Drosophila melanogaster: one gene and its partner. The protein of the gene in region 2 purifies or fractionates together with the protein of the main gene of each other region. This does not show direct contact. Each region holds a gene or a part of one and is shown on either strand. Other genes may lie near its edges.

Evidence for each region. The genes of interacting proteins can lie anywhere in the genome.
Region 1: the proteins of egg (region 2) and wde purify together in Drosophila melanogaster (affinity purification with western blotting; 4 studies listed by BioGRID, with this or other methods). This does not show direct contact.

What each region holds. Positions count from the first base shown.
Region 1 is NT_033778.4:10,805,572-10,810,483, forward strand, and holds the start of wde (windei), read right to left. Parts: upstream 3,368-4,912; 5' UTR 3,169-3,367; intron 967-3,168; exon of another isoform or gene 917-966; intron 157-916; 5' UTR 116-156; coding exon 4-115; intron 1-3. Other genes in the region: CG12935 (uncharacterized protein), read left to right, coding at 4,218-4,620, 4,680-4,912.
Region 2 is NT_033778.4:24,774,610-24,782,085, reverse strand, and holds egg (eggless), read left to right. Parts: upstream 1-2,184; 5' UTR 2,185-2,272; coding exon 2,273-3,211; intron 3,212-3,269; coding exon 3,270-3,387; intron 3,388-3,458; coding exon 3,459-3,742; intron 3,743-3,795; coding exon 3,796-4,051; intron 4,052-4,113; coding exon 4,114-4,619; intron 4,620-4,677; coding exon 4,678-5,439; intron 5,440-5,510; coding exon 5,511-6,227; intron 6,228-6,285; coding exon 6,286-6,492; 3' UTR 6,493-6,552; downstream 6,553-7,476. Other genes in the region: TyrRS-m (Tyrosyl-tRNA synthetase, mitochondrial), read left to right, coding at 1-67, 126-286; CG3594 (uncharacterized protein), read right to left, coding at 376-1,128; Lcp9 (larval cuticle protein 9), read left to right, coding at 1,717-1,728, 1,785-2,051; Eps-15 (epidermal growth factor receptor pathway substrate clone 15), read left to right, coding at 7,113-7,178, 7,273-7,476. UniProt on the Drosophila melanogaster protein: Histone methyltransferase that specifically trimethylates 'Lys-10' of histone H3 (H3K9me3) in ovary. H3K9me3 represents a specific tag for epigenetic transcriptional repression by recruiting Su(var)205/HP1 to methylated histones.

The DNA of each region.
Region 1 (4,912 bases), about 14 Mb from region 2:
TACCGGGGGTGGAGAGAGGTTCCACTTCATTGCCGAGCTCTGTGGATAGGGTTCGCATCAAAGCTTCCTCTGTAGAGAGTTCCTTCAGTTCCATGGTCTGGTTTACTCCCATCATTTTGAATGTTTTTATCGATTTACTTAATCGTCATTGAATTGCTAAAAGTAAAACCATATTATAGTTCACGACGTATGTTGACAACTCTGGGATATAACAAACATGTCACAACCCTGCTACCGCCATATTTTTTTTAAAAATTAAATTCAATCTCATTCAAAAATTTCTTGTAAATAGCTTTTAAAAGAAAGCTCGCTAAAAGCTTATTCCCAGTTCTCGCCAGTCAAAATGCTAATGCAATAACTTGGGAATTATACCTTTAAGTGAGTCTGAAGCCAGCGATATTTTATTAAGACTCCGCCAAAACTCATAAACCGCTTTCCCGAATTCATTTTGAAGTCCTTTCTAACTCTAAAGTATACGAAGCCATTAAAGCAATGTTATCTTTGAGTATGGATGTTCCATAGTCAAAGGATGATAGGAACATCATAACTCAAGACCAACATTTTTGTTTTTTTTTTTTACTTTTTTTTGTGTTCGGTTTGGTGTGTATCTACTCCGTTGTTATTGTTCTTGTTGTTGGTAGTATTAAGCGTTCGTCGCTTTCCGAACGCAACAATAACTACACGATTGTAGCGAAAAGACAAAGCAAAGCGACGATAAATATTCGTGCAAGGGAAAAAAGTGCGTGACGAAAAATGCGAATATGGGGAGAAAGAGAAAATTAACTGCTACCTATTAATTTATGCTCATAACTTTATAGTTATAGTTTTTACTATCGAAAGTGGGGTTATGTTGAGTTTGTTGCGTTTTTACGTGATAGCGTAACTGCACATTGTTATATTGAGTTTAGTAACTTACATGCTTAAACTTCCTGATACCCTGTTAACGATTTATTTTGATTTGGCTACACTCGAAGAAATCAAAATGACTTCAACATCTTGCCGCGTTTAGTGCAAAAATGAACGAGGTGAACGCCAAACCAGCTCTCGACGAACGAAAATGAGAGCGAGAGAGCAAACAGCTGAGAGCGGTAAAAGCGGCAGGGGCGTACGGGTAAGAGGAAGATAGTCGGCGGGAGGGCGTGTCTCGGGATGATATGATAAGATTCGATAATGTAATTCCACCTGGAGTTTAAGGAAACTACATTCACATCTTGAACTTTAACCTTTCGCGAAAAATAGGGCAAAGCTACAGTCCTCATTGTTATTGTGCTCTATGGCAAGTTGGCAGTCTCTTTTGGTATGGCAGTTTCTCCATAAAATTATAAAAATAAAAGCAATAGGGGATGGTATAAAAATCGAAATGAAGTGAGCAGGGATCCTCATTGAATCAAAAAACATTGTTTGATAACAACGAGTAAAAAGCAAAGCGTTTAATAATAACGCAAATAGAACGCGTTTTGTTGGTCGCGAGCGGCAGGGTGAGATGAGGAAACAGGCAGCTAGAGCGGGACGACTATACGTTTACAAATTAATAGGGGAGCAATATAAGTAAAGAACATTATGGAATATCCATTTCTTAGTGCAACTACACACAGCTCCAACCAGTGTTAATAAATAGATGATTTGTAGATGGAGGCCGAACGCAAAGATTATGTGGAATCAGAGAAGGCTGAAGCAAAAATGTAACAGAATGTAACCCTGTCAAAAAAAGAAACTTTCCAAACTTTCCAAACTTTCAAAACTTAGAACCTATAGTCCGTCCGTCCTTCTGGTCTTTTCGAAACGAACTTAGGACCTTGCCAGGATACCGGTTTTGTAGAAAGTTGCGGAGTGAGCGGGACGGACAGAGAGAGCGGCCGGAGAGTAATTGCAAGAGAGAGCAAGAGGCCAAATTTATATATGCACGTGGCTATATATATTTGCCTGTATGTAGGAATTGAATAAAGTTCGCGTAGCGCCAAACACAGCACGACAAAGATACAGCAGCAAGCCGAAAGCAACAACTACAACACCGGGCAAACAAAAATAGAGGCGTAAAGTCGTTGTTTTTGTAGATGAAATGCTAAAACCTTCGATATCAGCTCTATTAAAGAAATTGATCCTAGAAGCTAGTGACATTGGATCATTAAATTTCGACTTGCTCTGATGGCAATACTTTTTTCAAGATGCTTAGGTCCATTAAAACCGTTGCTTATACACACAAATGTAGATAACAAACATGTTTAGGTGTCGTATTTTTGCAACTTAAAGTATATATGGCCAATTTATCGTCTTTAAAGTTCGGTCTTGTATTTAAGCCAATTTTGGGCTATATGTCTATTATAGCTGTCCCGCTCTAACACGCGCACACACACCAGTTAAGTTCGTTGTAGCAACGGCACATCGGTGTGAGCGTGTATGTATATCAGAACGTGTATTTGTGCGATTTTGCAACGCATTTACATTCTTTTTAGGTTACGTATCGATTTTGATGCAGAGTGAGGTTAGATCGAAAAACATCCAAGTTTTTGCATGCTTTACGAAAGCAAGGACATTTTTGAAATCCCCTCGGCGCCCTCTGCATGTTTCTGGTATCAGACGTTCGATAAAGACTAAACCCCGAAAAACCTAAAACGAGCAGGTTGCAAGCAGAAGCAAAAGCAAAACGGGCGGCGTTTTTATTCACCTATTGTACAATTTTATGTTTTTAGGGTTGCCAGGTATGCATTATGTTTATCATGAATATAATATAAAACCTCGATGTGTCCGATTAGACGCAAATCAAATGTCTTTAAATGTATAATTGAGACCATGATGTCGCGCAGGGTTGCCACCGGCAGGTCATTTTTTGTCCTATTGCAATGGCATTGCGGTATATAGTCTTGCCTACACGTCGGTAGTCTAGTCTAAAATATAGCATAGTAACAAATCCAGATATATATCAGATTTCGCCTGATTTGCAAATCGCGGTCACTTGACAACCCTGAAAACACAAATGTCTTTAAAGAGACTCGTACCATATCTGGCGTATGGTACCCGTACCCAGTCCAAATAAAAAAAAACTTCAAAACCCAGTAAAAAAAATGCAAATCCCAAATGTACCATTCGATTGGACCATTATATTACAGGGTATTTTTATAAAGAAAATTATAAATATAACATAAAATGGATAAAAAAAACTACACTTACCTTTCTACGACACGACAAACTCGTTTATTAACTTATATATTACCGAAAACTATTGAAATATGACTTGTGGTCTAACGGCAACTATCAAATGTCAATGATTTGAATGAATTTAACAGCTTCTCCGTGATTTGTTTACAATTCGCAGGCAACTCCACTTCCGATGCCCTTAAACGACGAAGACTGAAACACAGACTAAAATCGCACAACAACAGAAGGTGCCGAAAAGAACCAGTCTATGCACAACTGGTTCCGAAGAGCAGCGCCCAGATTGCAAGCTAGCGGCACTTGGAATAGAGATTGGCGCGTGATTCCGGATGCCGATTTCTGATACGCATCGAGAAGACATTTTTTATGGACGTTTCTAACAATACTTATTATTTTTGTATTTATTTAGGTTGGATTTTGGCAAAACTTATTTTATCTTATATTCAACTTTGCATTTTTACGCAATTTGTATTATTATTATTATTATTATTATTAACATGATGACCAGATATAACTTAAACTGGTTACCTTCTCATTACGATAGTAATATTATAAAAGGATGTATATTTAATAGCTGAGGAGAAGCAGCATTTCTATAGTATTTATATACAAAAATAAAAAACGTTATGCAGTTCATGCACGTGTACATCCCTAGTTTGGAACCAAACAAAATCATATGTTGTTACTAGGGCTGTATAGCTAAACGTTTTATTTATGGGAGCAGAACTATTAAGTGCCAGTTGGAACTAAGACGTGATCTCCCCTGTCCCTTCTTTTGCTTAAAACTGAATCATATTGACAAATGTTTTCGGCCCGTTTAAGTAATGTGACGTTCTCATGAAATACAACGGTGAACATTGCAAAAATCGTGTTATTTTCGTTAATTGTTCCAATGGGTGAACTAGTGAACGGAGTCAGCATGTGCCAGCCCTGATGGCTGCTTTGTTGAACTAGTTCCAGTTCCGGAGCTAGTGAACCAATAGCAAACGGAACAAAACAAAAACATCTGTAGATTATAGGTTAATTTGTTTTATAATAACAAATGCGGGAATTATTCAATTAAGATGAGCAATCTGCTGAATTTTGCCCTGCGGCAGGGCGTCAACTCCATCAAGCGCCTTAGCCTCCAGAGTTTCAGACTGGCAGCTCCGGCCATTGTAACAAAAACGCCGGTTACTTCCACGATAAAGAGATTCTCCTCCCAAGCCGCCCCCTTCGATGTGAACACCAGTGTCCCCAAGGACATAATACTTTTCAAGTATGAAAACCCCCGATTCTACCAGATGCTTAACTTTTTCGGGGTGTGTCAGTTTGTTTTCTGGACATATCTCTCGCACTTCGCCTTCACGACGCTTAAGGATGCTCCAGTGGTGGAAAAACCCGGAGAGGAGCTGAAGTGGTTCCAGCGCATAAATCTGGGCGATAATAAGTACAGAAATGGCATTACAGCCTGTAGCTTTCTGATAGGTAAGAGTGGTTTACTACGTTCTCGGCAAGCCGAAAATAAAACTCAACCAACATTTTAGGATATGGCATACTGTTTGCTGTCTGGATGTTTACCCTGCGATCGGTGCGTTTTCTTATCTTGAGAAAGGGTGGTCAGAGCGTTTCCTTTGTGACCTACGGTCCCTTCAACCGGAATCGCATTATGACCGTGCCATTAAAGTGCGTCTCCGCCGAGGAATCACGGAACATGGCCAGGGTGCAGCTACCCATTAAGGTGAAGGGCAAGACACTGTATTACGTCCTGGATATGCGT
Region 2 (7,476 bases):
CTGTTGACCGAGCCAGGAATGTCCATCCTAGAGCTCGCCATGAAGGCGAAGTGCTTTCCCACGGAGAGTAAGTTATCTTTCTCTTTGGAAATATGGGGCATAATCGATTTGTGATCACTCTTTAGCGGATGCTGTACGCATTATAAACGCAGGCGGATTTTACGTTAACCAGAAGCGGGTGCAGAATATCGCCGAAGTGCTAACTACGGGCGTGCACATCCTGCGCAACGGAATTTCTCTGCTGCGCGTGGGCAAACGCAACTTCTATATTGTGCGCTGGCAATAGTTAACAGTAAACCTCTTATCCGGTAATGTTAACTTTTAATTGTTGTTAAATAATCATAGAATGGCTTACATTGTAAGAACTTATGCTATTTATGTGGGTCTGGGGGCGGGCTTTTTGCGCCACCGCTTTCGCGCCAGCATTTCCTTGGCCTTCTCCTTTTTCAGGTCCTTGTCGTAAAACTTGCCGCTCTTCGTGAAGGTCTTCTGCTCGTTGCGCATCTCGGCCAGCTTTCGGTTCTTCTGTTTGATGATGTTCTTCTTGTTGGCCGACTTCTTCTTGCCCGCCTCGGAGATCTGCACCTTGATGTTGCGTCCCTGCAGCTCTGTGTTGTGCAGCTGGAAGGCATTCTGGAAACTGCTTAGGTCGGCCATTTCCACAAAGGCGAAGCCCCCTCGTCGCTTCTTGGGAATGCGGATAGACTTGACCGTGCCTGCCGCAGAGAAGTGCAGCTCCAGGTCGTCCTTTGTGGTTTCGAAGTTCAGGTTCGTCACGTACAGGACGTGTCTGTTGGTTTTGGAGGCTCCTCGAAGCAGTGAACTCAGCTGGTCACTGGTTATCTGCCCATTTTCCGCAGATTCCTCTTCCTCGGCTCCGGAAGCAGCACTGCCCTCAGCGGCTGCCTCGTCGTCGGACTTGGCCTCATCCTCGCTCTTACTATCCTCCGGGTCACTGGGATTCCGTCCGTCCTCCTTGTCCACATACGTGCCCTCGAAGATCTCCCTTCGCTTCTGGTCATCGAAGTTTCCCAATAGATCCGCACTGTCGTCGTTGACTGTGCGTTGAACTCGCTTGGGATTGAAGAAAGCCTCCACCTCATAATCGCTGCCAGAATCACTGGCCATCGTGATATTTCTGGGGGAGATTGCAGTGCACACCGATACGCAGACACCACCACGTGGGATTCCCTCTGAATGGCAAATCTGTGCGGTCCCAGACATTTTCCAGCACTGGCTAATTGCGCGCCAAGAAATTCAAATCCCAGGCCATATTGCAATCGCAGCTTGTTAGAAACCGGTTGCAACTGCGGGAGCAAAATCAGACTGCTAATGGAGTTATGCGAAAATAATGCTAATCGGCGTTAGCATCGAAGGAACCGGTTAGCTCTTATCAGCTAAAAATTAATCGTGCGGTGCTGACAATTGATGAACGTGGTTGTTTTGGGAATCTTCCGCACAGATCTCCAAAGATAACCCCCCGAATATGATATGCCGAGTGGGGCGATAATTAATGCCTGCAGAATGACTGCATCTATGTCTTTTGTTTAATTAAGACAAACGACCGCTGGGAGCCAGTTATGAAGAAAATTTATGCAGTTGGTGATTCCGGCCGGTAAAATGTCAGTGGAGAGCTACATATAAAAGCGCAATTTTCGGCAACCAGCAGTCAAAATTTTATCGCTATCTATCAGCACACACATCCCCTTTCCAACCATGAAGTTTGTGGTAAGTGGCATCGAAATTAGATTTTGGGGACCTCTGAACAACGATTTGTCTTTTAGATCGTTCTTGCCTGCCTTTTGGCCGTGGTCTTCGCCAACGAGGAGGCTGATGTTGTAAAGAGCGACTCCGAGGTTAACTTGCTGGACTTTAACTACGCTTATGAGCTATCCAACCATATTCGCGCCGTGCAAACTGGAGCCTTGAAGGAGCACGACAACTGGGTGGTTTCCGGGGAGTACGAGTACGTGGCCCCCAACGGCAAGACCGTCAAAGTGGTCTACACCGCCGATGAAACCGGCTACCACCCAAAGGTCGTCGAGGCCTAATGAACAGGACCCACTCCCGAAGACCGAAATAAAAAATTAAATCCATTGCAGCAGCGAACATTTTGAATTTCCGTTCTTTTTCTTTTGTGTGAATAGACACTCTTCTTCTTTCTGCCACTAAAATCTAGGGCTGGCAAATTACGAGCGAAATTTTATACAATGTTATCGCTTGTCTCGCAAATTTGCATTAATGTGTAAAGTTAAGTAAACTCATTAAAACTATGTCTGGGCAGCCAACAGCCGTGGACTGCTTAGAGAGCAGTGGAAGCACAGTGGAGGATGTCCAAGAAACACCGGCGTCGAGGGAAAAAAGTTACGGGTTGCCGGTGCGCAAAGGAGAAAATAGCTTGGAGTCTCCTGCAGAACAAGCCGCAAAGGATGTGGAAATTGAGGAACTGACACACAGTGAAGCAATCGCCGCCACCGGTTCAACCAGGAAGCAGTGCCCATATGGAGGTAAGGCCCCTGATGAACCTGGAAAGTTGGCCGACGAATCGGAGGACCGCAAGGGAGAGAACACGAAAGCCATTGCAAGCAGCCCGGTTTTGGTAGCTGTGGATTCGGACAGCAGTGTTGAGCTAATAGAGAGTCCTGTCAAATTCTCCTCCGCCAACGAAAGTGAGAAAGATCCGCCAAAACCAGATGCTGTCAATGAAGCTGCGGCTAAAGAGGCCGAGGAAATGACTGATAGCAGCATCAGCAGTCCCACATCCGAAAGTTTTCCTGAAAAAGATGAAAAGACCAATAAGGAAAATGAGCAAGAACCTCCTGGCATGGAGGTAGATCAGGACGTCGAGGAGTCAATAAGTCGACCAGCAGAAGAATACAAAATTGAGAATACATTAAAAGGTCACAAGCGTATTAGCTTAACGGAAATCGAAGAACACAAAATTGTTGATAAAAAAGACGATGTCCTAGAGGTGGAGCTTGAAAAGGGCACTGCTCCGAAAGCTGCAGAAGACGAGAAGCTGAACGCTTTGTTATCAGATGGAGATGTCTTCTACGACAAGGAATGTGTCAACTGCAATTGCACAAAGCTTCATAAACAGTACGTGTTGGCTAACATGGCCACTTTAAACTTTTACCAGGTGCTCCGAAAGTCTTCCAAGCAGCAGTTCCTCTGCATGGGATGCCATGACACAGCAATGGACTTGTATGAGGTCAACTAGCATATTTATTAACTTAAGAGGGAAACTTAGAACGTATTTCTTTATTTAGGAGTATGCTGGACAACTAATGGCCAAGCAGCCGCTGCTGCTAAAGGATTTCCATCAGGATCACGCCGACTTTGTGGCTCTGGACAGCAGCGATGAGGAGGAAGAGGAGAAGCAGCCAGGTGAGACTGCTATCATGATAAATAAACAATAGCAAAAAAAAAAACGTACTAAATATATTTTATCCGCACAGAAAAATCGGACTTTTCGAAAAACAAGCTGCAGCTCATCGAAGATGAACTCGATGATGCCATCAAAAATGTACTTAACAAGGTGGATTTTACGGCTCAGCTGTCCTGGTCAAAAACTATTCTCCAGGCGAAAGCAGACCACTTGGAGCGACAATTCGCACTGGCAGATGTGGAACTCGAAAAAGTTCAGACCACCGCTGACAAAATGCACTGCGCTTTGTATAACTCGTGTCCGGTGGCACACAAACATCTGCCCACCCTGGACATTGAACCCAGTGACTATGTGGTAAGTAAGAAGTGATGCCGTTTGGATCTGATTTAATACAACCATTTACTCAGCATGAAGTTCCACCTCCTGGCGAAATCGTGCGTCCTCCAATACAGTTGGGAGAGACATACTACGCTGTTAAGAACAAGGCTATTGCCAGCTGGGTGTCCATAAAGGTAATCGAGTTTACAGAGAGCACCGCCATCAACGGAAACACGATGAAGAGCTACAAGATTAGGTACCTCAACACTCCGTACCAGATGATCAAGACAGTGACGGCCAAGCACATTGCCTACTTCGAACCACCGCCAGTGCGACTGACCATTGGTTAGTTCCCAATAGACCGGTTATTTATCAATCTATAAACTAACCCACTCATTGTGCACTAGGTACCCGCGTGATTGCGTACTTCGATGGCACCACTTTGTCGCGGGGCAAGGATAAGGGCGTGGTGCAGAGCGCCTTTTATCCAGGCATCATCGCTGAGCCGTTGAAGCAGGCCAATCGCTACCGCTACCTAATATTCTACGACGATGGGTACACTCAGTACGTTCCGCACCGCGATGTCCGTCTAGTTTGCCAGGCTTCCGAGAAAGTGTGGGAGGACGTACACGCCGCATCGCGCGATTTCATACAGAAGTACGTGGAGAAGTACTCCGTGGATCGTCCAATGGTGCAATGCACCCGGGGACAAAGTATGACCACTGAATCGAACGGGACCTGGCTGTACGCGCGCGTCATTGACATCGACTGCAGCTTGGTGTTGATGCAGTTTGAGGGCGACAAAAACCATACGGAGTGGATATACAGGGGTTCATTGCGCTTGGGTCCTGTCTTCAGGGAAACCCAGAACAATATGAACAGTTCAAGCGCACAGCAGCTGCGTGTCCCAAGAGTAAGCATCGTGTCGATTCATCCTGCGGTCCTAACTACAAAATGTCTTTCTTTTTCAGCGCACGGAGCCCTTTATTCGGTACACCAAGGAGATGGAGTCCAGCAGCAAGGTGAACCAGCAGATGCGTGCCTTTGCCCGCAAGAGCAGCGCCTCCGCCCAAAATAACGCATTAGCGGCTGCATCTTCGGCAGCAACCCCAGCCGGAGGACGCACCAATGCAGGAGGTGTCAGCACCAGTAATAGCGCAAGTGCTGTGCGACACCTAAACAACTCGACAATCTACGTGGACGACGAGAACAGGCCCAAGGGCCATGTAGTCTACTTTACAGCCAAGCGGAATCTGCCTCCCAAAATGTACAAGTGCCACGAGTGCAGCCCGAACTGCCTCTTTAAGATCGTTCACCGTCTGGACAGCTACAGTCCGTTAGCGAAGCCTCTGCTTTCTGGCTGGGAACGTCTTGTCATGCGGCAGAAGACCAAGAAGTCTGTGGTATACAAGGGACCTTGTGGCAAAAGCTTGCGCAGCCTGGCCGAAGTTCACAGGTACCTTCGAGCTACTGAAAATGTGTTGAACGTAGACAATTTTGACTTTACGCCCGACCTCAAGTGTCTGGCCGAGTACTCCATTGATCCCTCGATCGTGAAGGACACGGACATTTCAAAGGGGCAGGAGAAGATGGCGATTCCGCTGGTAAACTACTACGACAACACCCTGCCGCCCCCATGCACCTACGCGAAGCAGCGCATCCCTACCGAGGGTGTTCATCTGAATCTGGACGAGGAGTTCCTCTTGTGCTGCGACTGCGAGGACGACTGCTCGGTAAGACGTCTTACAGATCTGATTACCTCAAATTATACCCAGCCGCCCACTATTTTGTGTATCCCTATCAGGACAAGTCAAAGTGCGCCTGTTGGCAGCTAACGGTGGCGGGCGTGCGGTACTGTAACCCGAAGAAACCCATCGAGGAGATAGGCTACCAGTACAAGCGGCTCCACGAGCACGTGCCCACCGGCATCTACGAGTGCAACTCGCGCTGCAAGTGCAAGAAGAATTGCCTGAACCGGGTGGTGCAGTTCTCCCTAGAGATGAAACTGCAGGTGTTCAAGACCTCAAATCGTGGATGGGGCTTGCGCTGCGTTAACGACATCCCCAAGGGTGCTTTCATCTGTATTTACGCCGGCCATCTGCTCACGGAGACGATGGCCAACGAAGGCGGACAGGACGCCGGCGACGAGTATTTCGCGGACTTAGATTACATAGAGGTCGCTGAACAGTTAAAAGAGGGATACGAGTCGGAGGTGGACCACTCGGACCCGGACGCCGAGGAGGACAACGGGGGACCCGATGCCGAGGACGATGACGACTTCCGGCCAAACTATCACTACCAGCGCAAAATCAAGCGCTCTTCCAGAAGCGGCTCCACGCAGAACAGCTCCACTCAGAGCAGCGAGTTGGACTCGCAGGAGCGTGCGGTGATCAACTTTAACCCAAATGCTGATCTGGACGAGACGGTGCGGGAGAACTCGGTGCGGAGGCTTTTCGGCAAGGACGAGGCGCCCTACATCATGGACGCCAAGACAACGGGCAACCTTGGACGCTATTTCAACGTGAGTTGGAAGTTTTTTGTTATTTTGCCGTGTGGCTGATTCTCTTCTTCTCCCGCAGCACTCGTGCAGCCCCAATCTCTTCGTGCAGAACGTGTTCGTGGATACTCACGACCTGCGTTTCCCCTGGGTTGCCTTCTTCTCGGCCGCGCACATCCGCTCCGGCACCGAGCTGACTTGGAACTACAATTACGAGGTGGGCGTGGTGCCCGGCAAGGTGTTGTACTGCCAGTGCGGGGCCCCCAATTGCCGCCTTCGTCTGCTCTAAGTTCTAGCTTAAGTTAGAGATCCATACAGGAAATATACTCATTAAAGAAGAATTAGAATTAAAAATTTAAACTTTAAACATTATCTGTTCCGTTAGGGTAACGGAAACATTGCATTTTTATAAGCTACTGCTGTTCTGCACCGTCCGTTTCAAAGTACACAATTTTCTTCACGTTTAGTGTTAAAGGAATAAATATAGACAAATGAATTTTAAAAAATTATACTTTAAAAAAATAATAATGTTCGTTAATTTAACGGTATTAATTTATGTGGTATTTTAACGCATTTTACCTAGTGGTATACTTAATCATCAGCCGTACGGTATTTTTAATCGTTATCCGAACGGTCACACTATCCACCGAGCAAAAAAGCAAATTTAGGCTTTTTAAAATTCGAGAGTAGCTAAATTAGGGGCCGCAATGCGCCAAGCTCACCTGTAAGTGGCTCCAGCAAGTGTCTCGTCGCAGGTGCACAGGTGCTAGGCAGCAGGACTCCGCCGACGGCTGACTAAGAGCAGCTTATCCGCCCCTTGGGAAGAAAAAATCGATTTTGTGATAACGGGCTTACGCTTACGCGTTTTTGCACTGCTAGTCGGAACCAATTGCCAGTAGACTCCACACCATGAATGTGGACTTTGCGAGGGTGTGCGGGAAGCACATAGGCGTCTACGAGGCCTACTACAAACTGGTAAGCGCACCACGCCTCCAAGCCGCACTGTTACCAGGATGGCGGCCAATGTTGAGCATCCGTATCCACACCCACCCTCTATCGATTTTTGCAGATTGACCCCAAAGGCACAGGGGCAATCGAGGCCATGACTGCGGCCAAGTTTCTCAAGAAGTCGGGCCTTAGCGACGTTGTGCTAAGCAGGATCTGGGACCTGTCTGATCCGAGCGGCAAGGGCTTTCTGGACAAGCCGGGCTTTTTTGTAGCCCTTAAGCTGGTGTCCCTGTCGCAGGCGGGACAGGTGGCCAGCATGGCCAAC